Diceros bicornis minor: one gene and its partners. The protein of the gene in region 1 interacts with the protein of each later gene in a pairwise test. Links are inferred from orthologs where the notes say so. Each region holds a gene or a part of one and is shown in the gene's direction. Other genes may lie near its edges.

Region 1 (7,558 bases):
ACCCAATTTGTACACATTCCTCTGGAGACTGAAGAATCAAGGGGCCGACGTTTTCATGTTTATTTCAGAGGAATTTTACAGTCTGACTGCTAGGTGTATACCAGGTCAGGGTTTGAAGCATGGAAGATGGTGGAAGCAATAAGCATCAGGTATCACTCCATTGGCTTTGGGCCCATGCTCTTGCCAAATAGTGGGGTTCAAACCACCCTTGGGACATTCTGTGCCAAAGCTGTCCTGATGAAGTTTCTGAGCCTGAGATAAGTCATGCAGAGCCATCTGCCTCTGCCCGCAGCGTCTTACACGGGTGTAAGGGAAAGTAAGGAAGATGACGTGCAGCCCTAAGCAGGGTGAATGGAGAAGCAAGGGTGAAGGAAGCGCTGGCAGGCATTGACATTGGTGGGAGAGCCTCATGGGCACCGGGAAGCTGGCTAATGTGGACAGTACAGTTCTACAGTAGTCTCCCCTTATCCATGGGGGATACTTTCCAGGACCCCCAGTAGATGCCTGAAACTGTGGATTGTACTGAACCTTACATATACTATGTTTTTTCCTATACATACATACCTACGATAAAGTTGAATTTATAAGGCACAGTAAGAGATTAACAACAATAACTAATAATAAAATAGAGCAATTATAATAATATACTGTAATAAAAATCATGTGAATGTGGTTTCTCTCTCTCTCAAAATATCTTATTGTACTGTACTCACCCTTCTTCCTCTTGTGATGATGTGAGATGATAAAATGCTTACCTGATGAGATGAGGTGAGGTGAATGTCGTAGGCATTGTAACGTAGTGTTAGGCAATACAGCAGAAGGAAGATCATCTGCTTCCAGATGGCGGTTGACTGTGGGTAACTGAAACCGCGGAAAGCGAATCTGCGGATAAGGGGGGACCACTGTATATACTTTAGTCATACTACTCACCTCTTCCCAACTGCTTCCCCGTGAGTCTCTCGTCCCTCTGTCTCTCCTCCCTCCCTCCAAGTTTGGAAGTGCCTCCCAAAGTCACTGCTCAGCTCTGTACACAGTTCTGGCCAGGGCATTTCTTGTTTTTTAGGAACTCAGAACCCCCTGAGAGGTGATGCTAGCGGTTGCTTCCTATGGTTTCCTCCCTGACTCCCCCTGTCATGGGATTGTAGGAAGAGGACTAGGGCACCATGGGCCTAACCATCTCTGGGTCCCCACTAGATCTTCCTGATTCACGGAAGTCCAGTGCATAATAGTTGTTCAGTGGAAGTGCATGTGCCATCAGAGAAGCTGAGACTGTGGTACTGCACCACCAACATATTGTAGTATTGCTCTCCTGGGTTTAGGCAAGTCTTTAACTCCTGGGTCTCAGGCTCCTAGAGTGCTCATCCTCATGCATGTTCTGTGGGAGGGTCAATGAGGCAGCCCATGTCAATCACCAAATCCAGTGCCTGCCACAGGATGTGTGCTCCTGGGAGTAGAACCCTGGGCATCTCTTCCTGTATTAGGGTCTAGACATGGAAAGTGGAGCTGGACACTGACCGCTGTGCCAGGCAGGTCTACCCTCCACCCTGAGCTTTGAATGGGCAGGATGGCCAGAAACCTACCTCTGACATTTCCTGTACCGTCATTCCATCCACTGAACATTTATGGAACACCTATAAACACTTTCTGATGCTGAAGATGAAAGGATGAACGAGAGAGTGTCCCTGCGTGGCCTCAAGGGGCTTCTCATCTAATGGGGGAAGCTCATATCACTGGAAAGTCCACGGGCTCATATTCCCCCCTACCTGCTCTTTTCCCTGCACACCCTCTGAGCAGTGTGATCCCTCCTCCTCTCCTTACTTGGTCTTGGCCCTGTTTCCCTCCTCTCTCTCAGCCTCTCACTTCCATGGGTGCCCATTCAATTCTATTGTAAAAGGACTGAATAGGGTTTTTTTTGTGTGTGTGTGAGGAAGACCAGCCCTGAGCTAACATCCATTCTAATCCTCCTCTTTTTGCTGAGGAAGACCGGTTCTGAGCTAACATCTATTGCCAATCCTCCTCCTTTTTTCCCCCAAAGCCCCAGTAGATAGTTGTATGTCATAGTTGCACATCCTTCTAGTTGCTGTATGTGGCACGTGGCCTCGGCATGGCCGGAGAAGCGGTGCGTCGGTGCGCGCCCGGGATCTGAACCGGGCCGCCAGTAGCGGAGCATGTGCACTTAACCGCTAAGCCATGGGGCCAGCCCAGAATAGGGTTTTAAAAAAAATTTATTTTGCCATTTTTGTTACATCACTCATCGTTTCACAATGGAGACTGATTCATGATCAGAGATAGAACATATTGGACAATTTGAAGAATATTTTTGGACACTTTATGCAGCTACCATTTCTAATTTTTATTTGAACATCTGCACTCTGAGATTCTTTCATAAACCAAACATTTATGGTGCTTCTACTCTGGGCCAGACACTTTTCTAGACATCAGGGATAGAGCAGCTAACAAAGTAAAGTCTCTGTCCACATTGACTTACATTCTCAAGTGGAGGCAGACTGACAAACACAGTGCTATATATGATGGCTCCCAGCATGATACATGCTATGTAGAGAAATGAAGCAGGGTAAGGGGTTAGAGACTACTGGCAGATAACCGGGTGCTCTGATAGATGAGGTGGTCAGGAAAGTCCTCTCTGAAAACAGTGCGAGAAGGAGTTAGGCAGCTAACTGGGGAGGGAGCTTTGTAAGACAGAAAGGGTAGAAAGTGCAAAGTTCCTGAGGCCAGAGCTACTTGAAATGTATGAGAATCAGCAAGGAGGATGTGGGGGAAGAGGGAGAATCCCCCTCTGCCCTTTTCGTTAAGGTTCTTATGGCTGGCCAAATAATTAACAAGACAGGTTAGCAGGAGAAAATAATACCAAGTTTAATAACATGTATACATGGGAGAAAGCAGGGACACTGCGTTTCTCAACACAATAGCAGAAATTCTCGTCTTAAATACCATGTTCAGCCAACGACAAAGGAGGATGTGGGGGTGGGGGGAGTCAGTTACAGGAGATTACCACTAAAGCACAGTAAACAAGAGTAAGGTTATTATGCAGATTTAAGGCCTCACCTTCCACATTGATAAGCCTCTAGAAATGAGGTCATCCCCCCTCTTCCCAAAACAGAGAGGGAGATACCCTTACAAATGGAGATTTCCCTTATAAATGTAAATGATTGTCTGGCAACTCCTAGCAGGGCCATCCAGAGAATGTGGCCAGAGAGACAGAACTTCTGATAAGATGGGCTTGTTGGTGCCTTTTCTATTGTAACCTCTATCCTACATTATCTTTACAGCCATCATGATAGATCTGTTCCAGGAAGGAGCCACTATGTCAAATTCTTTAGGCAGTTAGTGGGGAGGTCAAATGTCCCTCAGAGAAAACAATCAAGGTAAAGAGATATATTTCAGGATGGCCAAATCTTGATCTCCCACAAGGACAATGTGATTGGAACAGAGCAGGGAACAGGAAGAGGCCTAGGAGATGAGGCAGGGCCTTATATGCCATAACCAAGATTTTGCTTTTTATTTTGAGCAAGAGAGGAAAACTGTTGGAGGATTTTGAGCAAGGCAGTGAAGAGATCTAACTTTTGTTCTAAAGGATTACTATGCCTACTCTGTGGAGAATATATATACACACACACACACACACACACACACACACACACTGCGGGAAGGGAAGAGTGAAAGTTAAGTGATTAGTTGCAGCAGTCTGGGTGAGAAAGGAAGGCTGGGATCAGGGAGGTAGTGGTAGAAGTGACAAGAAGTGATTGAATTGGGGACATATTTTAAAAGCAGAGCCAACAGATTATGTTGGCTCTAGGGTCCTGGATCCAACTCAGTTGTCAACAACTATTTGAATAATCAGGAAGTAGAAACACAAAACCATTTAAAAACACAAGTCTTCATTGTTAAGCAAAGAATAATACCCAGTGGCCAAGGGACACTAATACTAGGACATGAAATAGAGAATCAAAGATAGGCAGGATGCCTGCAAATAGTTATCGGATGATTTTAAAGAACTATTTATATTTCGTTATTTAGACACATTTCTAAAAAAGGATAGAGGTATACAATATTATTTCCCAACTAAAGTCAAATTCCTGTTTAAATATTGTTTTCTCATGAAAGACAGGACCTCTGACGGTCTTTCATAACTCTGAAAGGATGTGTGACTCCCGCGGTGCGGCCAGCAGTGCTTAACAGCTCTCTGGGTGAACGAGATTTAAATAAGCAAGGAAATGTGTTAACAAAACTTCACGTAAATGAAATGTACTGGCCACAGACCCGGCAAGGAACACTGTATTGTGTGAGTCGGCTGGGTTGAACGGTGGTTAATCCTTTAAACTTACGCAGGTTGGCCCGCTCTGACACAGGTCTTAGCGCGCCCGCGGTCCAGGCTAACGAACGCCGCACCCACATCCAGGGCTCGGTCGGGGTCCCTTGCCTTTATCCGCGGGCCTTGAGAACCATGACCCGCCCCGAGACCCTGCCCGCCGCTTCCCTGGCCCCGCCCCCCCGGTCACGTCTCCGCGGCCCCGCCTGCCCCACCCTGGCTACGCCCCCACGCCGCGCCGGCAGCTTCCCTGGCCACGCCCCCTCACCTCCCCCGGGCCGCGGCGGCGCGCCGGCCGACCGTGCGGCTTTGTGGGCGGAGCTTGCGCAGCCGCCGGGTCTCCTGCGCGCACTGCCCTCCGTCCCTGGCCACCGCGCTCCTCCGCGGACACGCACTTCCTGCGAGGCCTCTGTGCGCACCTTAGCCGAGCCGAACCGAGCCGAGCTCAGCCTTGCCCTTCCAAGCCGTTCGCCATGGTGGACGAGCTGGTGCTGCTGCTGCACGCGCTCCTGATGCGGCACCGCGCCCTGAGCATCGAGAACAGCCAGCTCATGGAACAGCTGCGGCTGCTGGTGTGCGAGAGGGCCACCCTGCTGCGCCAGGTACGTCCGCCGAGTTGCCCGGTGCCCTTCCCTGAAACGTTTAACGGCGAGAGCTCCCGGCTCCCTGAGTTTATCGTGCAGACGGCGTCTTACATGCTTGTCAACGAGAACCGATTCTGCAACGACGCCATGAAGGTGGCATTCCTAATCAGCCTGCTCACCGGGGAAGCCGAGGAGTGGGTGGTGCCGTACATTGAGATGGATAGCCCCATCCTAGGTGATTACCGGGCCTTCCTCGATGAGATGAAACAGTGTTTTGGCTGGGATGACGATGAAGAAGACGACGACGAAGATGATGATTACTAGGCCCCGAGACCCTCGGGCCTAGGTGGGAGGGCCCTGCACGCCGCTCCCCTCCCCCGCGCGCCCTCCTGCCCTGTCCGGAGCCGCCGCGCTCCCCCTCGCCCTCCTATCCCCTTTCCTACCCCTGCCCTCCCATTCTCTTCCTCATCCCCCGCCTCCCTCGTAGTGCTTGTCTTTGTTCCAGGAATAGTGAGTGCTCCAGTTACCTGCTGCTGGAGCTGGGGCCTCGCTCTGAAGCGCGCCGCCACCCAGTCTGGCCAGCCCCAGGACCCTCCGCTGCTAATTTGGACTGTGTCCTGAGCCCCAGCTTTAGGGCAGGACCCTGTTACAAACTGGTCAGACTGCGCACAGCCCTGCCAAACTGCCAGGCCTACATCTGCCCAGAGACTTAAAGCTGCCACTTCACCGTCGTCCATCACATTCCAGTGACAGACCACCACCTTTGGAGATAAGAGTCAACCTAGAAGATGCCTGAGTTGGCTACACCTCCTCGGACAATGATTTGTACAGCTCACCAACCTTTAAAGGGCCAGTCTTGCAGCCTGGTTAGTTCCCTACCTGCTCCCAGAGTCCTCCCTTGCCCCACCAAATTGCTGCAGGGGCCTAGTGTGCCTGGCAGCCAAATTGTTGACATTTCTTTTCTCCTAGGCACCCGTTTTGCACAGCTGTTATTTTTTTTCCAAAATTGCAGCAGTCCCACAGATGTGTGCATTTGGACAAAAATACTAAAAACAAACAAGAACAGGCACTCGGCCCAGCTCCTCAATACTACCTGGAAAAAGCACTTGTTCTTTTCAATAAATATCAAGCACTACTCAAAAAAGAAAGGAGTGTCTTTTAATGGTTAAATGCCATCATTGGCCACTACCTCTCTCACTCTGACTCCCATTGTTCCCACTGAGATCAGGGAAGTTAGTTCAATGCCAGTATTCCCCACTGTCATCTCTAGGCTACAGAGGACATCTACCACAGGACTTTATTGGGATTCTGGTGCTCCCCTCACCAAGGCATTTCTTAAAGCCCTGGCGAAGGGAGTGTTCTCTGGAGCCTCCTGGGTGACATGGGTAAGGGGTGACTGAGCAGGTGGCACACCATCCCAAACTGGGACACTTTTGAGAGTGAAAGTGACACTATTAATAATTAGACTGGGACAACAGGCATAAATCTGGACACATACAATATTCCTATCTTCCTGAGCCTTTGGGTTCCTTCCTTAACACTGCCAGGGAGGTTCTGTGCCTTAATTCTTATTGCCTGTGGAGTACTTTTAAGTTCAGGCTGCAGTTAACAACGTAGCACATTGTTTTAATGCCCCTTTCAGGCTCGAGCTAAAATTAAATCCTGGTTCCTTGGTAAGTGCACCGGTAATAAATAGAATCTTAACATTTCATCCTCCTTGGGAAGACACCCTTAGAATCCGCACCCATACATATGCCCCAGGTTCCTGCCTATGGAAGTTGGCACTATGCCTGGCTATCTCCTGAACTAGACCTTGTACTGCTATCTGGGCTATGCTGAGATCTCTGTGGCCCAAGAGGGCTCAGAGGCATTGAGAGAGTGGGGTGGGTGCTGAGAATAATGCGCATACCTCTGTGAGGCCATTACTCCAGGTTAAGTCATTGAAATGTTAAATCAGAGAAGCTTGGTTGGGGGATTTGTGGGGGCTCCCTCTGCCAGCCAGGCACGTTCAGGAGGATTTGAGGAGTTCAGAGTTTTCATTCTCATCTATATCTGCTAATGTCCTCATTGTACCATGCCTGGAGGCAGCCCTACCTTACGACCTCTAATTTAGACAATAAATTTCTTTATTGTTTAAGACCTTTTGAGGCTGGGTATTCTTTTATTTGTACTGGTAAACCTCACTGTGGATTAAATGAGATACTAGTCATCATACTGGTCACCTCACAGATCACGTCCATAAGGTATTTAGAACTGTCTCTGCTATATGGTGAGCACTCAGTAGACATGGGCTATTACTCCCAGCCCTGGGAACTGAAGTCTTGCTTGGGAGGCAGGTCTCTTGCTATGAGCTTAGCTTTAGTAGGAAAATGTCAGGGGTGAAGAGGAGCAGAGCAGGCTGAGGGAGAGTGGAAATGAGAGCATGACAAGACCTCATTTACTCTTTGGGATCTGACGTGAACTCAGATAGAAAGCCAGTTTACTTGGTAATAGGCAAAGTCCGGGGCAGGAGTCATTTCTCAGGTCTGGGAAAGTTGTTTCTGGAGAGTAGGGACAGGGGTGGATATTACTTAGCAAAGGAGGTTGAGGCCCAAACGAGATGGATGTGGGAATGTGGTGAGGAAGAGCTGAAAGCTAGATAAAG
Region 2 (8,012 bases), on another chromosome or scaffold:
GCACTCTGCGTAGTACTGGGGAGGGCAGAGAGGGGGTGCTGAGCCATGGGCACTCAGCCGCCTCAGGGGCACTCCTGACTAGAAGACCCTTCTGAGGGTGGGAAGGTGGGTGGAGTGGAGATGCGCCCCCACACCCCGTCAGGAAGGGCTTGCTGACCTCGGGTGGGGAGTGGCCACCTCCCCCCCACTTCCCGCTGCCGCACACCAACCCCACTTCAGCGTCTGCTCCTGAGAACCACCCATGACCACCGCCTGCTGGTGGCCAGAAAGGAAAGATGGGGCTTGGGGGCTGGAGGAGCCCAGACCAAGCCCATCCCTCTGCAGACCTGGAGTTGGAGAGAATGCACTGATGGGGACTTGTGCTGGCACAGACAGCAAGCCTGGCAAGTGTGTCACTGACAAGCCCTGGAAAGACCACTGAGGGCTGAGGCCAGCTCCACACCAGCAGCAGCTCTGGCCCCTACACAGAATGGCAGGGCCAAAGACCAAACCAGCATCACTAAGCTCAGAGCTCTGCAGGCCAGACTGGTGCCAGGAGGGCAGTCAGCCCTGGGCTTGCTGACAGCAAGTGTCACAGGATCCCCTACAACAGTTAACCACCAGAGCCTGGGGACAGCTAGGGGACAAAATGGAACATAGCACCCCTCAGAAAAGATAGATACACAAAGTGGGGACATATGAGGGACAGACCCACTGGGCGCGGGGCATGAGGGATGCAGCCACAGGTCTGGCGAGTCCACCCTCTATCCTAATCAGACCACCGGAAGCACCCGCATTCAGGAGCACCTTCGCCACTCTGCCCCAGCTCTCCTGCCTGTCACAAGACCCCAGGGACCTGGAACATCCACATTGACTCCTACGGCAAGGCCGTTCCACTAGCTGGGCAGGACTAGCCAGCGGTCAGCGAGCTGAAGGCCCTGGTGATGCATGTGTTCCAGGGGGTGGGAGACACCCGGGGAGACCCAGGCCTGGCAGCTCTGGACAATTCTTAGGGTATAGTGAGCAGGCTACCCCGACCCCAGCACAAGACAAGCTCTTGTATATGCATTTGCTACAAAAGAGAAACCCAACGCAGCCCTCCTGGGTCCTGCAGGCCATCAGTCCCGCACACAAAAACTTCTCCAGCCTACATACTAGGCAAGGTGAGGACAGTGGGCTGGCCGTCTTGGGGCTGACACAGGGAGCTGGCAGGCCCTACAGCGGAGGTCTCCGTGGCAGCAAGCCCAGTGAGACAATCACCAGGCAGCCCCTGGGGCCCCAGGGAGTGGCAGAGGACTTCTGGCATGCAGCTGGGCCCTGGCAGACGGATGCTGGAGCTGCCACCATACCCAGTGGATGTCAGGTGATGATCCAGCAGTGGTGGCAGCGACAGGAGAGCACACCTGGGGCTCAGTGTGAACAAGCCCAGGGGCACAGCAGGCTGCTCTGGCCCCACAGCACTCGCCACGCTCCAGACCCTGATGGCTGCATCACGTGTGGCCACGTGGGGGGATCCCACACAACCAGCAGAAAGAGGGAAGGGCTCAAGCTTGGCTTCTGGGTGGGCCCACACCAAAGGTCTCTTAGGTGTGGCCTAGAGGAACAGAACAGAAGTCCTCCCCGCGGCAGAGCGCCAGTGGTCCCCCTGGTCCCGCTTGTGTGGGCAGACGCGGCCCAAGGCTAGCATGCACACAGACCCATAGGCAGCAGCACACAGCCTAGATGAAGGTCTAGGGCAGACATGGAGCAGTGGACATGGGGAGTGAAGGTCCACCAGACATCTGCCGGGGACAAAATGACTCGACTGGCCCAATACAGTGCTGCGGTGCTGGACCACATGGGGGCCAGGGCCCAGGACGCAGCATCGGGGAACGGGGAGGGGAGTAAGAACTCCACTTCCCATCCCCCCAGTGACCCACAGGGGACTCCACTGCTCCTTCCCAGCTCTGGGCTCTACAGGGCTGGGGGTGTGGTCAGCACGCTCACCAGGTGCATGGCAGGAGACCTGCTGAGTCACAACCCCTGGCTGCCTCCTGGGCACACTGGACAACCCGTGTCCAGGGCCCAGCGGAGACCCCTCTCTGGCAGGAGGTAACTGACCCCATCAGCAGGAGGTGGGGCGCCCACTCCACAGCAAGCCAGAGAGCACATGAGGAACCCAGGGGACCACCAGAGAAGGCGACCTCAGCAGTCAGGGCTCAGCCCCTCATGATGAAACCATGGCACAGGCAGAAGTAGCAGTGCAGGGGGCCACAACCAGCTGCAAAGCTGGCCTGTGGTGTGGCTTGTCCCTCTCCTCCCTCTTCCAGCTTCCCCTCAGGAGGAAGCCCCAATCTTGGAGGAACTGCTCCCCAAGGCAAGGGCATGGATGCAAGCGTAGCACAGTGGGTGGTGGCCAACACAAGAACCTGCCACCTGCTGCAGCCTTGCTGCCCAGTGGCAGGCAGTGTACCCAGTGATCTGTCTCTACTTGGCTCCTGCAGGACCCACTTTGATCCACAGAGAGCCTCCTTACCAGATCACAGCTGCCCAGGGCAGCCCACCATGGTGACCCCCCAGGCAGTATGGAGTCCCAGCCAGCTTGGCCTGACAGTGGGCAGCTGTGAGCAGTTTTCCTCCAGGGCTCCCCACTGGGCCAGCCACAGTCCCTCTGGCCCCAGCACCCGAGCTGACCCCTCCCCCTGCCTAGTCCCATGTCCTCTTGGCTCCCTTCCCAGGTGCTGGTCACCAACACGAACCCTGCACCCCAACCTCCGTCTCAGCACCTGCTCTTGAGACCCTTGCCTGTGACACAATGGTGGAATCTGTTTCACTCCCCACACGGGTCTGGGGTTCGGACAGTAGGCTTGGCTCTTCCTCAGTCCAACTTAAATGGCCACAGGGAGCCTGTCAGTCACCTTTTGGCAACAGAATGGAAGCTGCTCTCTTGGCTAGAAATCAGAGCAAGAGAAAATGCTTTGGAAAAGGTGACTGGGTACCTACTGCTAGAGTCAAACCAGAAATGAGAACCAAGGCACTCAGTTCTAAACACATAGGCAACCAACAAGTACTGGGGCGGGCATGTCTGCACCAAACCCACCATGCCAATCCATTGGGACAGGGCTGCCTAGGGAAGGAGCTAGGTCTGTCCCATTCACCGCTAGACCCCAGTGTTGGGCACAGGCTGAGCTGGAGACAGACTCCAGTCTTGAGGTTTGGGGGGAGGAGCACCACACTGGGGTCTCAGAAATGCCCGAAACTTATATCAAAAGAGGATGCAGTTGCTGTGGGTCTCTGAGGACATCCTCCCGGATGGGGAAGAGACCACCACGGAGTACAGGTCCTAAGCTAGGATTGAAGGAGAGGGACCCAGCGGGGGAGACGCAGGCCCTGCTGGTGGGGCCGAGTACTGCAGGTGTGGTGCCTTCCCTACATCTGTTTCTTGGCCATCTTTTGTCTCGTCCTGGGGTGAGTAGCAACGACAATCTCTAAGCCAAAATGAACCAAGTGTGTCCTCACTGCTGGGGGAGGAGTGCGGGAACTGGGATAGGACTGGGGGGGTGCTCAGGAACAAAGTGGGTGATGGCGGCTGCTGACAGGAGGGAAGGAAGGTGAGCCTGAGGCTTTCTGAGGAGAGGAAAAAGCCCAGGGGTGCCACCTGGGCAGAAATGGCACAAGGGGCAGGCGGTACGCGGCATCTATCTTACCTTGTCCCACAGAGACTGCAGCTCTTCCTGCCCCCCTAAGTCCCAGAACAGGAGGCGAGCCTTTCCCACATCCACAGTGCCAACTGGGAGAAGAAAACAGGCAAGGCTGTGGCCTTGGTCCCTGACACACCATCTCCCAGCTCTCCGGGGGCAGAGGCCACTCTGGTGCTCCTCGAGGACCAGCCGACAGAGCTGGAGCAGAGGCCTCACACACAAGGCTCTGCTGCCTGCCTACTGGCCTGAGGACGTCACAGCATCCTGAGGGGTCTGCCCCCCAAACCCACAGCCCTAAGGGATCCCCTTACTGTTTAGACCCACGGTGGTGGTGATTTTGGATAGACTCATCCCCTTGTAGTTCTTGTTGAACCGGGTTTTTGACTGCTCCAGAAAGGTCTGCGGAGCAGGAAAGAGGCATTAGATAAGGACTAGAGATGTTTTCAAGTCTGTTTTGCTAATGTCTTTCCTTAACCCATTCCTTTAAAACAAAACAAAACACAACAACGTTTTGCTTTTAAAGCAGCTTGTGGTGACCATCCCGCGGCCTTAAATGGGGTTTGGATTCTGTCCAGGTGGTGGGCATACTAGTAAAGGCACAAACCAAACGGAGAGGGAGCGCAAGCACGCACCGTCTTCCCGGCATTGTCCAGACCCAAGATCAGGATGCAGTACTCGTCCTTCTGAAACATGTACTTGTACAGGCCCGACAGCAGCGTGTACATCCTGCCCTGGGCACCGCGAGAGACCAGTCACGACGCTCCGACCGGCGCCCGCCTGCCCTGCCTGCTGACAGCCCAGATCTGGTCCGGAGCACTCCCGACTCCTCCCGCCGCCCGTCCCTCTTCGGTCTCCCCACTCTGCCCTCTTCCCCGTAACTCTCTCCATCCCTCCGGACCGCCGGCTGGTGTCCTCGCCCCAGGGCGCTCCTCCTCCCCAGTCACCGCCGGGCCTCCCTCCGCTCCCCGAGCCTCAGGCCGGTCAAGGCCCCACGCCCTCCCGAGCCCCCCGGGCGCTCCCACTCCGGCCCGCAAGGACGAGCCACCCCTGCCCGCCCGGCCGGAGCCCGGGAAACAGCGGGAACCCCGGACGCCCGCCTCCGGGAGCCGGGTGCGTGTAGGGGGCGGCCTGGGGCGGGCAGATGGGGACAAGCCGCCCCGCCCGGGGCCCCGCCTCCCGACGCCCCGACCGGACACCGGCCTTCGGGGCCCGCCGGCCGGCCGCCGAGAGCTGCTCCGGATCGGCCGCCGGTCCTCGCCGCGACCTCGGACCCGCCCGGGAGGCGAAGAACCTGCCCGTCTACCTACGCCCGCCGGCCGCCGCGCCTGAGCCCGCGGACCGCTGACCCCGCGCGGCGCCCGACGGGACACGGGCCTGCTGTCCCGGCAGCCCCCACGCAGGCACTTCCGGTGGCGGCCGCGCTCGGCAGGAAGTGCGCGTTGGCGGCGAGGGCGGAAGCGGGACGCCGGGCCGCTCTAGCCGGTGAGGCGGCGGGCTCTCTATGGCCTGGCGGGGGCGCGGAGGACCGAGGGAGCCCGGCGGCGGCGCCCCGGGCGGGCAGACGCGGCGTGGGGCCGCGGCCGGGCTCCGGCTGTGGCTCTTCCGCTTGGAGCCGAGAGCCGTTCCCCGCCTGTCTTCTCGTCCCTGCGGCGGGACCGCGGGCGGCCCTGAGGGTGGCCTGGGGGCCCCGCGCCCGTCGGCTCAAGCTCCGCCGGCTCACCGGCTTCTCTCCCCGCAGCGCCGCCTCCGGAGGATCCGGGCCGACCCCCAGGATCCGGGCCGACCCCCAAGGACCAAGCCATCCCCCGAGGACCAAGCCATCCCCCGAGGTCCCGGGCCGCCTCCCCCGACGACCGAGCCGCCCCCCGAGGACCGGGCGCCCCCGGGATGGACGAGGACAGCCTGCAGGCCGCCCTGCAGGCCCACGGCGCGCAGCTGCGGCAGGTGGAGCGGGCCCTGCGCGCCGGCCTGGACGCCTCCGAGCTGGCCGACCTGCGCCAGCTGCAGCAGGACCTCAAGGAGCTGATCGCGCTCACGGAGGCCAGCCTGGTGTCCGTCAGGAAGAGCAAGCTGCTGGCCGCGCTGGACGGCGAGCACGCGGCCCGGGACGAGGCCGAGTACCTGGCCTTCCAGACGGCGGTGGCCGAGGCCGTGGAGGCGCCGGGAGCCCCGGGGGCAGAATCGGAGCCTGTCCCCGAGAGAGAGGCCGGGCCGGAGGAGGCCGGCGGGGAGGCCGGCGGGCTGAGCGGGCGGAAGGTGAGCGCGCCCTACCGCAGCCCCTGGGGCACCCTGGAGTACCACCACGCCATGGTGGTGGGCGCGGAGGCGGCGGCCGGCGGCTGCGCGGGCGTGCGCGTGCTCTATCTCTACCCCACGCACCGCGCCCTGAAGCCCTGCCCGTTCTTCCTGGAGGGCAAGTGCCGCTTCCAGGAGAGCTGCAGGTGAGCGCGGGCCGGCGGGCGGGCGGGCGGGCTCGCGGCGTGTCCTGGTCTGTGGTCTGTGTCTCCCTGGGTTCCCTCGGGTCAGTCGGGAAGGAGGCACCTTCTTCGCGGTGAGACCTCTGCAGTGTCCGTCCGTCGTGGAAACTCGCCCGCGCGAGGTTAGGGAGCGCGGCCGCCCGCGCCGTCCTTGCCGGCCGTCTCCTCCCGTCTGTCCTCCTGCCTTGGTTTTTTTTCCTTGGACTACTTTAAAGCGAATTCTGGAAGTTGCTAGTTTTTTCACCTATAAATAGTTAAGAATGCACCCCTAATCTAACTGACAAGGACGTCATAAAAAGGTCATCTCCGTGTCGCCGTTGCGCCCGACAGAGGGAACCGCAGTGCCCCGTCCCTGCTGACGTTTCCACGGCCCCTGTGACGGTGTCTTCTTTTTCTCAGGGCGCGACTTTGATTTTGCTCCTTCGTGCTTTGTCTTGAGAAGGAATATTGACTGAAATTTCTAGTAGATAATTCTCTTTTTTAGCCAATAGTCCAGGGTAACTGTCTCTAGCTCTTTGGTCGTGTTATTTCCTTATAGACTTTTGCAGGGTCCCAAGTCTTATCTGGTACGTCTCCCTTCCTTCCTTCTTTCTTTGTAAGTTTTATTAAAGAACAGCACACATACAGGTTAGCACGTAGATCATGAGGGGACTTGGAGAGCTTTCAGAGGAGACACAGCCTGTCCCCAGTACACATGTTAAGTAAGAGACGTAATGTTTCTATCCTTTTTTCCCTAGTCTCTGGGGGGCACGTCCACATGTGATGTCCCCTGTGGTGGTGAGAGCTGGCATGTCCATGTGCTGCTTCCTCTGGGACAGGCACTTTCCTCGAGTGTCACAGTATGGACTGTGTCTAGTGTCCCCACGAGGTGGCCTGCCACCACTCAGGGTGCATGGTTCCGAGGGGCGGAGCTGGGGCCCCAGCAGTCTGGCTCTGAGACATCCCCACTCGCCGTGATTTGCGCTGTCAGCTTTAGGCCCCACCGACACATCCTACACACACCCACCTCGCATTACTCAGCACTGCTAAGTTATTTACTTGCATTTGGTTTAGATTTTTAAAAATACAATAAAATAGACAATGTTGAAGCACTCTTTGACCACTCTCTGCTGCAGTCCCCTCTCTGTCCCGGGAGGCTGTCATTGTCACACTTGGGTGTGTATCTCTCTAGCGTGTGTTAGTTCTTTACAGGCATACGTGTGTCTGTAAGTGGTACATGTCTGTGCTTTGTTGTCTAAGTGGTGTCATACGGCAGTTCGTCCTGCACCTTGCTGTTTCCGCTAAGCGTGTTTGTGAGAGACCGCCGGGTTGATGTTTATAGAACTGTTTCATTCATTTTCACTGCTGTGTTATCTTCTTTCATGTGAATATACCACATTTTACTCACTCTGTCCCTTTCTGATGTTTTCCAATTTTTATTTGTTACAGTGTGCTGTGAACATCCTAATACTGTCTTCTTTTGTAACTGACGAGAATTTCCCTAGTGTGTAGCCAGCGTGGAGAGTGTGTGCAAATTTTCTGTTTTCATGTGATGTATGTTTCCTAGTCCCTAGTCTTCTCCACAGTCACCTGCAGTGACATTATCCGACTTGCAGATTTGTGCCTATTGAAAGCTGGGAAAATGGTGTCTTGACTGAATTTGTATTTCCTTGATTACTGGCGAGATTGAGTTTCTTTTCATATATTTGTTGTAACTTAATCTCTATATTTCAGTCTCCTTATCTGTAAAACAGAGATGAGAATCATCTTTCACAGTTGTTGGGAGAATGGAGTGCGTTAATATGTGTCAAGAGTGTAGAGCAATACCTAACATACAGTTAAGCACACAGTAGATTTTTAGTTCTTACGTTGTTATTGTAAAATAAAATCGGATACA
Region 3 (7,268 bases), on another chromosome or scaffold:
CAGCAGGAGAACGGAGAGAGCGATTGTGGAATATTCATGCAGTGGAATGCTACACAGCAAGAGAAAAGACCAAGTCACTGCTGCACCCAACAATGTAGATGAATCCATCAGACACGTTGAGTAAAAGAAGCCAGACCCAAAAGAGCACACTCTGCGTGGTTCCATTTATATGAAGTTCAGGAACAGGCAAGACGAATCTATGATGCTAGAAGGCAGAATAGTGGTTACCTACGGGTAGGAGGTCGTGACCAGGAGGGGGCACAAAGAGCCTTCTGAGCTGCTGGAAATGTGCTCTATCTTGATGAGGGCGGTAGGGTGGAGCATGGGTTTACATATATGTAAAAAGTCATTGAGCTGAACATGCTGGATGAGTGCACTTTACTGTACGTATGTTAAACTTCAATTTAGCCAACAACCTAAATATAAGAACCAAAATGATAAAACTATTAGAAGAAAACATAAAGGTAAATCTTCATGAGCTCGAATATGGCAATGGATTCTTAGATCTGACACTGGAAGCATGAGCAACAAAAGAAAAAATAGATAAACTGGACTTCTTAAAACCTTTTAAAACTTTATACATCAAAGGATATTATGAAGAATGTGAAAAGACAACCTACAGAAGGAGAAAATATCTGCAAATCATATATCTGGTAAGGGATTGGTAGCCAGAATATATAAAGAACTAATATAATTCAACAACAACAACAAAAGCCAAACAATCCAATTGAAAATGGGCAAAGGACTTGAATAGACATTTGTCAAAAATATATACATAAATGGCCAACAAGCACATGAAAAGATGTTCATTGATCATTAAGGAACATGATTAAGGAAATGCAAACCAAAAGACAATGAGATACCACATCACACCCTCTAGGAAAATAATAAGTGTTGGCAAGGGTGTGAAGAAATTAGAACCCTCATACACTCATATACTGCTAGCAGGAATGTAAAATGGTAACACTTTGTAAAACAGTCTGGCAGTTCCTCACAAGGTTAAACAGAGAGTTACCATATGACCCAGCTATTCTACTCTTAGGCATGTACCCAAGAAAAATGGAAACATATGTCCACATAAAAGCTTCTACACAAATGTCCATAGCAGCAAATAGCCAAAAAGTGGAAACAACACAAAGTCCATCAAATTTATGGATAAATAAATGAATCATGGTATATATATATAATAGAATATTATTCAGCCATAAAAAGGAACAAAGTATTGATACATGCTACAACATGGATGAGCTTGGAAAACATTATACTAAGTGACAGAAACAAGACACAAAAGATCACATGTTGCATGATTCCATTTATATGAAATGTCCAGAATAGGTAAATCCATAGATTAGGAAAGCAGATTAGAGGTTACCAGGGGATGGGAGGAGGGAAGAATGGGGAGTGATTACTTAATGGGTATGGGGTTTTTTTATGGGATGGTAAAAAAGTTTTGAAACTAGAGAGAAGTGGTGGTTGCACAACATTGTGAATGCACAAAATTCCATTTAAAATGGTTAATTGCATGTTGTGTGAATTTCACTCAATTTTAAAAATAAATAAACTTCAATTAAAAAGTGAATGGGAACTGAAAAGCATAAACATCACCTCCACCACTCTGGGGGCACTGACAGAACGTACTGGGTGCAAAGCACACTTGTCTATGGCCTCCTTTTGCCACCCTGCAGCCCCAAGAGCTGGGGATGCTCTGGGGGTCAGAGAGGGAAAGTGACTGAGCCAGGCTCACAGGGCTGCCAAGCGACAGAGCCAGGGTCTCTGAGACATCCCAGCCCCCAGGCTCCCGCAATCACTGTGGCCTCCTGGCCTCCCAGGGTGGGAGCTGGTGAGGTCAGGGGCCAGGAACGTTTCTGTAGCCACCAGGCGGGAGTTAGTGACTGAGGAGCTTGGAATGTGCTGCCTCTGAAAGGACCTCCTTGTGGCTCCACTGACGGTTAGAGCAGGAAGGGACTTTCAGAGTCGTGTAATCACACACACACACACACACACACACACATTGAGACCTGAGCCCCTGCTCAGTCACTGCCCAGGCTGCTTGGGGAGTAGGGCAGGGTGGTGTTTCTGGAACACGCAGATGATGCAGTCAAGGCTGACTCGTGTCAGGCCTCACATGTGCCACCACCTGGCCGCCTGTGTCACTCTGACCTGTCCAGCTTGGGCTCAGCCAAGGAGTTCAGATATCAGTTAGCGGGTGTGAGTGTGTGTGTGTGTGTGTGTGCGCGCTGCACGAGTGCCTTAGCGTGCGATCAGAGCCCCAACTGCCCCCACTCGTGGGGCTTTTTATTAACATGTGTATTTATTTTCTCTCTTTGTCACGTTCTTACTATACACTGTACTTAGCCTGTGACATTATTTTATTTCTATTCTCCAACAACCCTGAGATGTCGTTAACATTATGTCTCCATTTTACAGATGAGGAAACAGAGGCCCTGGGAGATTGTGTGCCTCATCTAGGTCACACAGCTGGTGAGCAGCCTACCCAGAATTCAAACTCAGAACCCAGACTTGTCTGATTCCAGCACGCGTGATCTTTTCCATGTGTCACACTGCCTCAAAAAATCTCCCTCTCTCTCTCACACACACACCCCTATATTTCTCATTCTGGTAAACTGCTGTTGGTTTCATTTCTTTTTAGAGAAAGACAAGCATTAAGTCAAACAAAGGCAAGGGAGAGGCTGTAACCACCCTCTGAGTGCACAGCACTTTACAGCTTACAAAGCACTTTCATATCTGTGACCTCATTCGATCCTACAGCAGCCCCATGAGGTCAGTGGGAGGCTCAATTATGCACAGTGAGCCTGGGACTCAGAGGGAAGGCAACCCACCCAGGTCACAGAGACAGAAATGGTAGCTCTGGGACTAGAAGCCCAGGGCCAACCTGGCCTTCTGGCTCTAAGTCCTGAGTGTGCCCACAGACCCCCGGCCTTGGTCCCCAGGGAAGGCCACCCAGGACCCTGCCTCCCTGAAATCTTCCTTCCCCGAGGACAAAACTGGAACTGATCAAATGGAGGCACTAACGGAAAGCAGGGAGCCCATGTCTCTTTCTGTAGTCCTGTGACGCCGGCAGCTCCTTACTCTCGCTGGGCCTTAGTTTCCTTATCTGTAGAATGGGAGGAAGAGGAGAAGAAGCTTTGGGGTGGTCCTCACAGCACTGACACTCGGCATGTGTGAAAAGGCGTCTGTGAGGGCTTGACAAATCTTGCCTGAGCCTGGGCTTGGGGCTCCCACAGCTCTGATTTGGCAACCTGCTTCAGCCACTCGCTGAGTGATTTTAGGCACTGCATTTCCACACCTCTCGGCATCAGTTTCCCCATCTGTAAAATAACGATGATGACGGCACCTACCTCCCAGGCTTGTTGGCCTTTGGTTGTTGACCTTTGGCCCTGGCCTCACATTCACACAGACCTTGGATGTAATCTCCAAACAAGACTGCTGACCACACTGCCCGGAAGGGCAGTGACAGTATTTAAAGAAGACGGCGTTTATCAGACCACAGGACACCTGTGTCCCACTGCAGGCTCTCACTGCTTACGTGAGCTCTGAATTAAAACTTGTTATAGCTCCTCAAACTATCCTGTGAGCAGCACAATTACACGGTATTGTATTTGTGCGTACCTCGAAGCATTAACTTATTCATTGTAAGCATTTAAAATATACCTCCATTTTTGTAACTCTGGTGTCACTTATTCACTTTTTAGAATACCTGAACCTTAAAACAATGCCAGTGGAAGGGCCCCACGCCACGACTGTGAGACCTTGGATGGCAGTAACATGGTTCCTGGCACGAAATAAGCACCTAGTAAATAATAATAATAATATCAATCACATTTATGATCCACTTTACGGTTTCCAGACCTCTTGCACATTCTACATTCCAGCCTTCCACGCGCGGCAGGGTGGCTATGTGATTATTTCGTCCCAGTTTACAGATGCAGAAACTGAGGCCAGACCCCAAGGAGAGGGCTCCAGGGTGCGGACCGGGAGTGGGGCTGCGGGCTCGCTGTCTGCACTCGGCGGCTGGGCGGGACGGGACAGAGGGACTGGGCGGAGCGCCCGGCTGCTCACAGGTGCGTAAATACGCAGGGGAATCCTCGGCTCCACCTGGGTGCAGCGAGGAAATTGCACCATGTATGGGCAGCTACGTCAGAGGGGGCGGGCCCACTGCTGTCGCTGGGGGACGTCAAGTCCTCCCCTTTCCCCCGAAAAGGCCGCTCCCGGACTGGAGGAGGCGTCCAGAAGTTCGGGGCGGACTGGCAAAAGGCGGCGCGTCTGGAGAGGTGGGGCCCCGAGGTGACCGGCGCCACTGCGAAACGCCCGCGCCACCCCCCCAGTCGGAGTGGTTCAGCCCGAGAACTTTTCATTCATAAAAAGAAAGGACTCCGCAAGGAGCGAGTGAGTCAGAACCCAAGCCGCCGACGCGGACCCCACGGAGCAGCCAGCCCAGGGCATGTACCGAGACTTCGGGGAACCCGGACCGAGCTCCGCCGCCGGCGGTGCGTACGGCGGCCCAGCGCAGCCCCCGGGGACGGGCCAGCAGGTGAGAGAGACCCGACGCCTGGGGCCGCGAGTGGACAGCGCCTGTGACGCTGCGGTCCGCTCCCGCGCGCTCCGGGACTGGGGCCGGCAACCGGAGTAGGGATCGGGTCTGGGGGCTGCGGCCGAGGATCCTGCCCATTCTTCGCCGTCCAGGGGCACTTTCCCCCACAGCCCGGGGGAACGCGCGCGGCGGGCGGAACAAGGATCTGCGAACGTCCCCTCTCTCCCTCGCCCCCTTTTCCCTTGCTGTGTACTTACTGTCCCTCTGTCTCTGTTACCTTCTTTCTTTCCTTCTGCCACCGCTAATATTTCGGCGCATCTGCGTCAGAGGGAGCCCCTTAGTCGGGATTAGTCCTAGCTCCGATAAGGTCCCAGGGTCTGATCCATCTCGGACTAAATTCCCGGGACCTGAGTCTGGGCTGCGGCCGAGAGGTCCCCACGCAGGAGGGAGGTGGGATCATCGGCAGGCTAGCTCCACAGACTGGGAATCCTCGGCGCTGTCCGTGATCGTCCGGTGTCTGTCTGTTTGTCCCTCTCTACTCTGTCGCCAAGTCCCTATCCCCTTCTTGGCGCAGTACAGCCTGGTGGGCTCTGGGACACGGGTTCTTGACGCTTTACAGGATGGAGCCAATAGAGATCGGGAGGTGCCGGGACGTGCGCGGGGACATGCAGCGGGCAACTCCCGCGCGCCCCCGACTCTCGGCACCGAACGGCGCCCGCTGCCGGCGGGGGGTACCCGGGAGGCTGCAGGTGCCCATTTCCTGCCGAGGGGCCGCGAGCACGTGTCGCTAGGGGAGAGAAGGAGCGGCGTCCGTTCCGCCGAGTCACGGCGGCCGAGTCACGGTGGCTGACTCACTCGGAGCGCCCCTCCCTTCCTGGCCCGGAGCGGCCCGGGCCCCGACAACCTCGGGAGCTGGAGATGCCGCCGGCGGTGCCTCGGGCCCGGAACTGGGGTCACCGGGCCACTGGGCCCACAGCGCTGGGCCAGGGACACCGCCGTCTGGACTTGCCTGGGCTTGTGAGGCTCTTCCCGGACTACTGGGCGCCCACACCCAGGATCCAGCCCCGGGGCTTGAACCCAGGGGCAGGTAATCCTTGGAGCGCATACAATGCAGCCAGGCGTCCTGCTGGGCGGTTTCCATCTCATTTACTGGATTTCACCGAATCTAAGACCTCTTTGGTTAAAAAGCCCACCATTGTTTTGTACCACTAAATTTTTTTACAGTTACAATTAACCTGTGATTTCAGAGCTACTAAGGAGTATTTCTTGGCATCAATGAAGTGCTGTAATCCTCATCTATGATAATATTAGAAACGAGGAAACTGAGGCACGTTGATGTTAAATAACCTGCCCAGAGTCACCGCCAGTAAGTGGCTGAGCTAAAATTAGAACTGGGACAGCTTGAACCCAGAGCAATGGCTCTCGCCCACCACAGCCCTTGTGCACTGGGCATCTGCCACTTCCCAGGCTCTGTCACATACATTCTCTCTCCTGTTTCTCACAGCCACCCTCAGGGTTAGGAGCTGTAATGCTCTGTGCAGATGGGACTCAGGCAGGGTGCAGGAGTGGGTGAGAGCCCGGCTGCCTGTGGCACAAACCCCGCTTTCCATTTACTGGCTGTGTGTCCATGGACAACTGTTTTCCTGTCTGACAACGATGATACTGTTGTGCAAATTATATGAGTCAGTATTTGTAAAGTGGTTGGGACAGTGCCTGGAATTGACACTCTGTAAGTATTAGCTCTGATGGGGAAATGGAGGCACAGAGTGGTTATGTGACCTGCGCAAAGTCACACAGCTCATGAGCAGGGATTTGTCACCCAGTCAGGCTGACTGCCAAACTGGGCTCTTTCAGGTCTCTCAGAACCAGCAGCTGCCTTGAGGGTGGACGGCAGTGTGGCTTCTGTCCACTGGAAGCCCCTCCATCCACACAGAACTCATCCCTGGCCCTCCATTTCTTATCCCTCAGAAGTTCCACTTCGTGCCAAGCATCAACGCTGTGAGTGGCAGCCAGGAGCTCCAGTGGATGGTGCAGCCTCACTTCCTGGGACCCAGCAGCTACCCCAGGCCTCTGGCCTACCCCCAGTACAGCCCCCCACAGCCCCGGCCAGGAGTCATCCGGGCCCTGGGGCCACCTCCAGGCGTGCGTCGCCGGCCCAGTGAACAGGTAGGGAGCAGGGGTGTTGCACTGGTTCTGATGCCCACAGGGTTGCAGAAGAGAAGCTCGTGCCCAAAAGGAGAACACAGGCTTGGGGGGGAGGGGTAAGGTGGGGCCACTGGTGACTATTGGCCAAGGCAGAAAGTGATAGGAGACCCCAGGGGAGACCCAGGGGGCAAAGAGGTCACTTCTAGATCAGGGAAGCATATTAGGTGGAGGCATATTAGCCTAGAAGGATGGGTAGCAGTTACATAGATAGAGATGAAGGAAATGACATTCCAGTTAGAGGAGATAGCAGGAGGAAGAATGGAGGTGGGGGTGAGAATGTGTAAGGTGTACATGCGGAAAGGTGTGTGGGCAGCAGAAGATCTCCACCTGCTGACGTGTGGAGAGGGTGGTCTTATGCTGTCTGTATAGCTGGAGAGAGAACAGAGAGGAGAGAGTTCCCTTCAGCCGCTCGCTGCGTCTCAGTTTCCCTATCTCATTTAATCCTCATAAAAACTCTCTGGGGAATGTACTCTCGTTTTCCCCAGTTTACAGCCAAGGAAATGAAGGCACA
Region 4 (7,792 bases), on another chromosome or scaffold:
CCATTGAAACAAAAAATTTTAATTTAAGTCCAATATACCTCTTTTTCCTTTTGTCACTTGTGATTTTGGTGTCATATCTAAGAAGGCTTTGCCTAACCAAGATCATGAAGATTCATTGCTATATTTCCTTCTAAGAGTTTTATAGTTTAGTTCTTACATTTAGGTCTATGATCCATTTTGAGTTAATTTTTGTGTATGGTACAAATAAGGGGTCAAATTTCATTCTCTTCCATGTGGATAATCAATTGCCCCAGCACCATTTGCTGAAAAGACTATTTTTTCCCCATTGAATTGTGTGAAATCTTAGGAGTATGTATGTGTGAGTGTGTGTGTGTGTGTGTATTTGAGGGTGAAGGTAATTTTAGTTCGGTTTTGTGAAAAGATAAAGTATATAAGAATTTTATGTTTCTTAAACTAAACAAATATAAAACAGATATGTCAGGGTCAGAGTCTATGTCTATTTCTTTTGAGGTTCAAACAATTGCACAAATGGTAAACATACATCATGTTTTCTTTATAGCTTACTTCCCTACAGAACCCTGAATAATTTGGAAAAACAGATATATGCTTTGCTTTAGTTGAAGGTTATCTGAATAAAATCTCTAAAAATTAATAGGATCATATTTTATCCAATTGATTTCTTATAGGGGTGTATGCTTGTGAAATCACAAAAAGAAATTTTATATTCATTTATGAAAGGACTGCTTAGTGAGAGCCACATAACCCATTTCTACATAAAAGGATAGGATTCCATGTAATATTTACTTTCAATTGTATAGACATATTAAACTGACCCATCACCAAACTGACAGGTTCTCCTTAGCCTCGTTGGGATTTCTTGGCTTTTTGGACCCCCTAACTATACTGGACATTTCTTTCTTTGGGGAATGAGAAGGCATCGTCCACATTTGCATTTCACTGAAGTATTGCCTTTTTCTTGCACACTTTCAGCTGTGTGTATGCAATCATTTTCAGACTTTTTCTTTAAGATCCAGTTTTCAGGATTCATTTTAGTGTAGCAATTGAGTGCCCTGGTTTTGTCAGTCCTTGGCACTCAAGCCCCATTGAAAGTAAAAGGGCTCCAATCTCATTAGGGAAAACTGCACAGTAACCGGCAGACACGGTGTCTAAACATCTTCATTTTAGCTCTTGAGACCTTCCTCAGTACTCAGGGAGCTGCAGCACATCCTTATCACTGCAGCTTCAGGCAGGTACTGCCTCAAACAAAGGCTGGGGTGGATTTTATAGTCCACAAGTAACTGGGCATGGAAGAATTGAAGAGCAAAACCCTGGGCTGCTAGAGCCAGGAAGAAGCTTGACAGTAACTAGCATAGAGGTAGTTCGGTGTTCCAGGGAAGACTTTCTTGAAGCTTATTCAACTCCAAATTTATAGTGTTGTATTTCCGCCATAAAGCCGGTTTATGTTTACAGTCCACCACCAGAGTTAATAGAGATAGGAGTAGCTGTAACTACAGTGTGGTTAATGAAGACACAGTACATAAAATGTAAACTTTGCTGATTCTCTAATTGGCATAAAAGCCGAGACACAAGAAAGTGGTCTATATCAACATAGTATAGCTAAACACAAGTAATCAACACAAATAAAATCTTAAATTTAACAAGATTTAGATTTTCAATGTAAGAAAATCTCCTTTAACTATACTATAAAAGATTTCGTCTGTCCTCTTGAGCTGTGCTGTCCAATATGGCAGCCATTAGCCACACGTGGGCATTGAGCATCTGAATTTGACTAGTCCAGATCTATGTGCAATGAGTGTAAAACCACACTGAAGTTTGAAAACTTAGTGTGAATAAAAGAATGTAAAATATCTAATAAATAATTTTTATGTTATGTACACATTGAAATGATAACATTTTGATATATTGGGTTAAAGAAAGTATATTATAACAATTAATTTTACCCGTTTCTTTTTATTTTTTAAATGTGGCTACTAGAAAATTTAAAAGCACATATGTAGCTCACGTTTGTGGCTCGCTTTATATATTTTTATTGGACAGCACTTCTCTCGAGACTAAGGGACTGTAACAGCATAACTACACTGGTGTTCCACCTGAATATATTTTTGTCAGCTGTCGTAATTCATTAGTCACTAGTTCATAGTGTATAATGTGGGTTTGATACTTCTCAATGTACATTTTTGTTTTCTTCACACCTCTTTACTGCTAAACAGTCTTTTTCCTTCCATTAGAACTCCATTCCCACTTTGCCTACTTGGCAAATTCTTCTTACCTTTTAATAGCCAGCTGAGACATTATTTTCCCTGTAAAATTTTCTCTGAACTCCCTCATCCCACACCCACACCCTAAGTAGAAATAAACACTCTGTCCTCTGCGCTATGACAGTATCTTGCCTGATATCCTCCAAATGCCTACTGTTTGCTGAGCACAGGGGTAGGCGGTGGAGGTACCCAAATGCAAACCAGAGGGACATGGATTCTGTGTCTGTAGTGCTTGCATTTAGAGTGGGATACAGACAAGTAAACACCCAGTGGAAAAATGCTATAATGGGAGAGATTCAGGGAGCACACCATAAGCATACCTTTCTCAGACTACATCTTTGTGGTGGATAAACATATTGAGCCTGAACTATAAGTCTCTGATCCCATAGGGACTCTGGCTTTATAAAAATACTTTCGTTTAACTTTATAACCTGAAGGGCATCTTTTTTCGCATCACAATTGGTTAAAGCGGGAGTTGTGTACAAAATACAAATTACTTAATAGGCATTCTTATATTACATACATGCCCCAGTATCCTTGCAATGACTCTCTTAGCCAGGAAGTTTAGGTATTGATTTTTTAAAAACAATGAACAACAACAAAATAGCCCCAACACAATTAGCATCATTAAGTAAAAATGAATTCTACAAAAGGTGTGCAATTTACTCAACACTAATGCACTATCAAAAAGAGTTCAGGATTTTAACAATTGGCTTTCCGTGGGGTTGAGAAGATAGATTAATAATAAGAGGTGAGCAGCTTTGTTAAGTCATCTAACATACGGCAGTGGACTTGTTAACACTAGTGTTGGAGAGTAGGACCAATACTCAGCTTGCTGGGTTAACTGTGTACCTCACTTTTCAGGAGGTTATCTATCAACCTCAATGATCCAAACCCAGTTAAGAAGTAAAAAGAATGCTTTTCAAAGCAACATTTGAGTAGTCCAAATATCGGTCCCAAAATCTATGCATTAAGGTTCATGTGCCTTACTCCTTGGTGAGCACATCAATCCCTTACATTAGACTGAATTGTGACAAGTGAGGCTATCTGGATTCCCATTCCCAGTCTGCACCAGACTAGAAGCTGCCAATCAGAGGAGGAGGAGAATATTAGAAGCAAGCAAGCTGGCAACAGAGGAAGGACAACAGATTGTCAGCTAGTGAAGGGGGAGAGAGAGAAACTACAAAAGGCAGAGATAATCACTAAGCCATAGTATCCTGGAATCCATCAGTGCAGCAATTGATGGCTTATATACCTCCTGGGCGCGTCCCTAACACCTAGGAAGAAGCCTGATAGAGAACAGGAAGTCGATGCATTTGTTGAATCCACTACAACCTACAACAACAAATACTTTTAATAAAATTAACCCTGACTTTTCAAGAAAAAGCCAAACGAAGTCCAATAAACTACTTAAGAAAACAGAAACATGTATAATACATTTTAGAAAATCTTCATGTAACAGTCAAAAATAGTTTTTTAAAAAAGAAGTTTGACTGCGTAAAGGGCCATACTCCAATTATGCTGATCATCACCTAACTGGAACAGTTCTCTCATTTATCCAATATTGGATAAATGATGCAATATAGAACAGCAGACTTTACTAAGTTGCCTTAAGCAGATTTCAAACTGTGGTATATGCAAATAATAAGCCATCGCATGAAGTTTAAACTATATAAGATGGCAACAGATCACACAGTTGAATTACTAGGGTGATGTAAAATAATTGTTCTAAAATGCACCATCATCATTAAGCAAAATATTCCTACCATGTGCCCAGGACTGTGCTAGGTGCTAGATTTATTAAGCATTAATTTGAAAAAAGGCTTTCACTTTTAAGACTATGAAGGTATTCCAAAACTCTCCTTCATATTTTTAAAGGTTAAACGAAATTTTAAGTGCACAAGATAGCCATTACATAACAAGCATAGAATACTGTTTTATGACTTGGATAGGTTTTTTTTTTTTTTTTTTAAGTGCACTAGCAACTCTATTTTCAAATGCTATCGAATTCTTAAGGCTATGAAAACCTACATATAAGAATGGAGTGCCTCATCCACTCATTTGTTTTGTGTAATAAGTGTTTTAACACAGGCATACCATTTCGGAGTTTAGGGTGAGGCTAAGCTGTACTTGAGCATTCTCATATCGAGCAAAAACAATTTCAGCAACGGCACTCATTTCCCCTGGTAATTTTTTCATGGCGAGTTACTAAACGCTAGACGCTGGAGTCAAAAAGAAACCTGACATCTGGGGAGGTGTTGAAGGGGTGTTAATAGTTCTAGTTAGATGTTTGGGCAGCGTTGAGGATAAGATTTTAAAACAGCAAATACAAAGAGAAGGGGGAAATTCTTTTTCGTCTGACTCTCTCCTCCCTCCACTCTCTTGCTTCACCAATCCATGTCCCCCCCAATTAAGACGCGGGTTCAGCGAGATTCGGCTGCAGGAAACCGAGAGGCTCCACAGCGCTGCCTCCCTGGCCTCGTGATGTAATTGTTATTTCTTATCTGGAGACTGAACTGAAGAGAGCTGCCGAAGAAGTGGCAGCCCTGTTCTTTTTGCCTCGTCTTGTAGGGTCAAATTCTTCCCAGGGATGATGTAGATTCGCTGACAGACTCCGCTGGTGACTTCGCAGTGACAAAGCAGCTGACGATAAACCCTGCTCCTGGGTCCTACGTCCGTCCAAGGAGCTGCCCCGGGCACTCCTCAGGTCTCCTGCCCAGTTTGCCTCTGGAGTCACTCCACATTCATTCCTGGGTGCCTACTACGTGCTGGGCGTGGAGTCAGAGTGACCTGAAGTTAGTGCCTGTGCCCCCCAGGATTAAAGCAGGACACACAGATCACAAGGTGGTGGAAATTGGGGGTGGGTGGGAGGGAGCCCAGGGGCGCGTGGTGTGGGGTGACATGGGAGGAGGGCAGCACCCAGGCGGGGACCCGGGGCGTCCCGGCCCCCAGGCTGTGTCCCCGAGAGGAGCCTTTGGCCCGTGTGGCCAGAACGATGCCCCGGGCCTCCGGGAGGAGCTGTCCAGGCGCTTCGGGGGCGGCTGGACAGAGCCGGAGCGGAGGGGGCCGGCTCGGGCGCGAGGGGCCCCCACCTCTCCCGGCCCACGCGATCCTCCGCTGCCCGGGGCCCGGCAGCCCCCGCCGGCCCTCCGGAGGGCGGGCAAGGAGGATAAGCACAAAACCGAGGGGACCGCTCAGCTCCCGCGAGCTGCCCGGCCCCGAGCGGCTGCCTGCGGCCCGGGTGACAATGGGCGGGAGGGGAAAAAAAGGGTTAAGAAACTTGGCTGAACAGCTGAATGGCGTGGAGCGGCGAGGGGAGGGACTGGGCCGCGGCGGCCTCGGCGGCGGAGGGAGGAGCGCGGCTGCGGGCAGGCGGCGAGCGAGGCGCTCAAAGTCAGCCTCGCAGACATTGCAGCAGAGCCCCGAACTCGGGAGGCGGCGGCGGCGGCGGAGGAGGCGGCGGCCGCGGCGGAGGGACGAGCCGGCCCCGCGCCCGCCCGCGCGCGCCCGCCCGTGGCCTTGCGTCCGCCGCTGCGCCCGGCAGCGCTGCTGCGCGCGGGGAGAGCCGGCCGGGGCGCCGAGGGAGGACGGGGCGGCGCGGCGCCTTCGCGGAGGGAGCCTCGCGGAGCCCGGGGCTCGGAGCCGCGGCGGCCTCGGGTGAGTGGCGGCCGCGGCCGGGGGGCTCCGGGGAGCGGCCGCGGCGGCGCCGCCGGAAACGGCCCGGAGCGCGGCCCGCGGCGGCGCTGGCGTTGGCGGGCAGGGCCGCGGGGGCGTCGGGGCGGCGGGAGCGATCGCGGACGGCGGGGTGGCCTCGGCGGCCGGGAGGAACCGTTTCCGGGGAGATCGCGCCTCTCCAGCCGGGGCCGAATCTCCCCGGGAACTCGGGGGCCCGGCCAGCGGGGCGGCCAAGTTGTGGAGTTAGCCGCGGGCTCACCGGCCCGTCCGTGCCGCCCCTGTGCCGAGCGGCGTGTCCCCTGAGCCGGCTGGGCACGGGTGGCCGGGCCGGGGGCGCGCCCCGCTCGGCTGCCCCTGGGCCCCGAGTCCCGGGCGCTGCTCGCCGCGCAGCTCTCGCTCCTGCTGCCCGGGGCGTCCTGGGCGGCGCCGGGCGCAGCTCCCCGCCTCTCGCCCGAGTGCCTCCCTGCGCCGTGCTCGCCGGACTCGGGGCCAGGAAAAGTGAATAGGGAAAGGGGCCGCGCTGCCCACCCCAGACCCCCAGGCCCGGGCCGTCGGTACTTGTCCTTCCCCTCCGAGGGCGAGGCTCCCAGGACCCGAGGCCTCAACCATCACTTTACCCCTGAGCCAGAAACCCGCCTCACGTTTCGGGTGAGTCCCGTGGAGGTCCTGGGAGGCTTCTTTTCTCTCCTCTTACTTCTGTATCCTTCTTACTATTAGTGGATATTGTTTTACGAAGGGTTTCCCTGGAAAGATTCTGCAAACCCTCCCATCCTTTCCAAAGTAGTTTCCAAATTTTAATCAAGAGTTGGTGTTCAGTCTGAAGGAACAAAGGAATCAACTGTGTCTTAGAGGCGAACAAGCTGGGAGTCCGTGACACATGTTGATCTCTGAAGCATTCCGGGAGTTTCTACCTTTTATCTCGTTGGTGATTTAATTGGGTGCTGAAGATAGTAAAAGACCAGCATGATGAGTACTTTTGCGTTTTTAAAAGGACATTTTATTTGGAAAAACAATTAAGACGTTCCTAGCTACAAGGACTTTTCACTCAGTTGGTGGAACTGAGGTGGAGTCTGTCTCTGGTAATGTAAATGATTAAATGTGAGATTGCGTGTGGGGGGGGACTGTCTTGAGAGGAAGAGAGACCGTCTGTAGTCTTCCAAAGTGAAAATGGTTGTCGGTTTATATATGATGAATGCTCTTTACGTTTCGGGGGGGAATTTGTGAAGCAAAGGGCTTTGGTAAATCATTCTTTAAATTTATGAATCGCATAGAACCTGCTTATTAGTGAATCATAGGTTTAGCAAGTGGGTGGCATCTTCCTGATGTAATTATTCAATGTTTAATCACCAGTTTGCCACCTTTGTTGAAGAGACACTGAAATAAGTGGACCTTTTAAAATAAACGGTGCTTCATCTGCCTGGCACCCAAGTGTGGGTTGCTGCCTTGAGCCTGTTGAAATGTTTTTCAACTTCGAAGTTAGTTGCTCTGGTTTTGCCCAGCGGTTTGGTCATGTCGAGTGGGTTTAACTGATTCAGAGAGTAGTGGCTTCATCAGGGATGGTAACTTCTCTCTGCCTGGAATTAGTTCCTAGAGACAAAGAAGAGTCAGTCAGTGGAACAGCTGCTACCCTACAGGCTGTAGGGTTGTTAGTCTGTTTCATACATTCTGGTGGGGAAAGACCTCTTTCCATACTTAGCCCTGAAAGTGCTCTAGGAGTGTGAGTAATAGATATATTTGGAAAAAAAAAAAAAAAGAAGACGACTGCTTATTGTTGGTTTTACTCAAAGGAGTTCTCTACAGTGCCTTTGAGGTCGTTGAAAACCAGGTTTAGTGCCTTTGGAAAGACTTGACTTAGTTGGACTCACTTCTTGCATGTG

What was found.
Region 2: the proteins of LDOC1 (region 1) and ZGPAT interact in binary tests that used the Homo sapiens proteins (3 or more experiments, as listed by UniProt). The two-hybrid records come from large-scale screens. The link is inferred for Diceros bicornis minor from reciprocal best matches to the Homo sapiens genes LDOC1 and ZGPAT.
Region 3: the proteins of LDOC1 (region 1) and FOSL1 interact in binary tests that used the Homo sapiens proteins (3 or more experiments, as listed by UniProt). The two-hybrid records come from large-scale screens. The link is inferred for Diceros bicornis minor from reciprocal best matches to the Homo sapiens genes LDOC1 and FOSL1.
Region 4: the proteins of LDOC1 (region 1) and NRIP1 interact in binary tests that used the Homo sapiens proteins (3 or more experiments, as listed by UniProt). The two-hybrid records come from large-scale screens. The link is inferred for Diceros bicornis minor from reciprocal best matches to the Homo sapiens genes LDOC1 and NRIP1.

What each region holds. Positions count from the first base shown.
Region 1 is NC_080781.1:128,281,379-128,288,936, forward strand, and holds LDOC1 (protein LDOC1), read left to right. Parts: upstream 1-4,670; 5' UTR 4,671-4,803; coding exon 4,804-5,238; 3' UTR 5,239-5,780; intron 5,781-5,883; 3' UTR 5,884-7,053; downstream 7,054-7,558. UniProt on the Homo sapiens protein: May have an important role in the development and/or progression of some cancers.
Region 2 is NC_080758.1:499,957-507,968, reverse strand, and holds the start of ZGPAT (zinc finger CCCH-type with G patch domain-containing protein), read left to right. Parts: upstream 1-4,995; 5' UTR 4,996-5,141; intron 5,142-5,397; 5' UTR 5,398-5,546; coding exon 5,547-6,100; intron 6,101-8,012. Other genes in the region: ARFRP1 (ADP-ribosylation factor-related protein 1), read right to left, coding at 3,666-3,748, 3,971-4,058, 4,292-4,547. UniProt on the Homo sapiens protein: Transcription repressor that specifically binds the 5'-GGAG[GA]A[GA]A-3' consensus sequence. Represses transcription by recruiting the chromatin multiprotein complex NuRD to target promoters.
Region 3 is NC_080770.1:7,381,759-7,389,026, forward strand, and holds the start of FOSL1 (fos-related antigen 1), read left to right. Parts: upstream 1-4,254; 5' UTR 4,255-4,462; coding exon 4,463-4,552; intron 4,553-4,809; exon of another isoform or gene 4,810-5,226; intron 5,227-6,520; coding exon 6,521-6,718; intron 6,719-7,268.
Region 4 is NC_080766.1:17,395,405-17,403,196, reverse strand, and holds the start of NRIP1 (nuclear receptor-interacting protein 1), read left to right. Parts: upstream 1-4,786; 5' UTR 4,787-5,084; intron 5,085-5,625; exon of another isoform or gene 5,626-5,897; intron 5,898-5,915; exon of another isoform or gene 5,916-6,563; intron 6,564-7,792. UniProt on the Homo sapiens protein: Modulates transcriptional activation by steroid receptors such as NR3C1, NR3C2 and ESR1. Also modulates transcriptional repression by nuclear hormone receptors.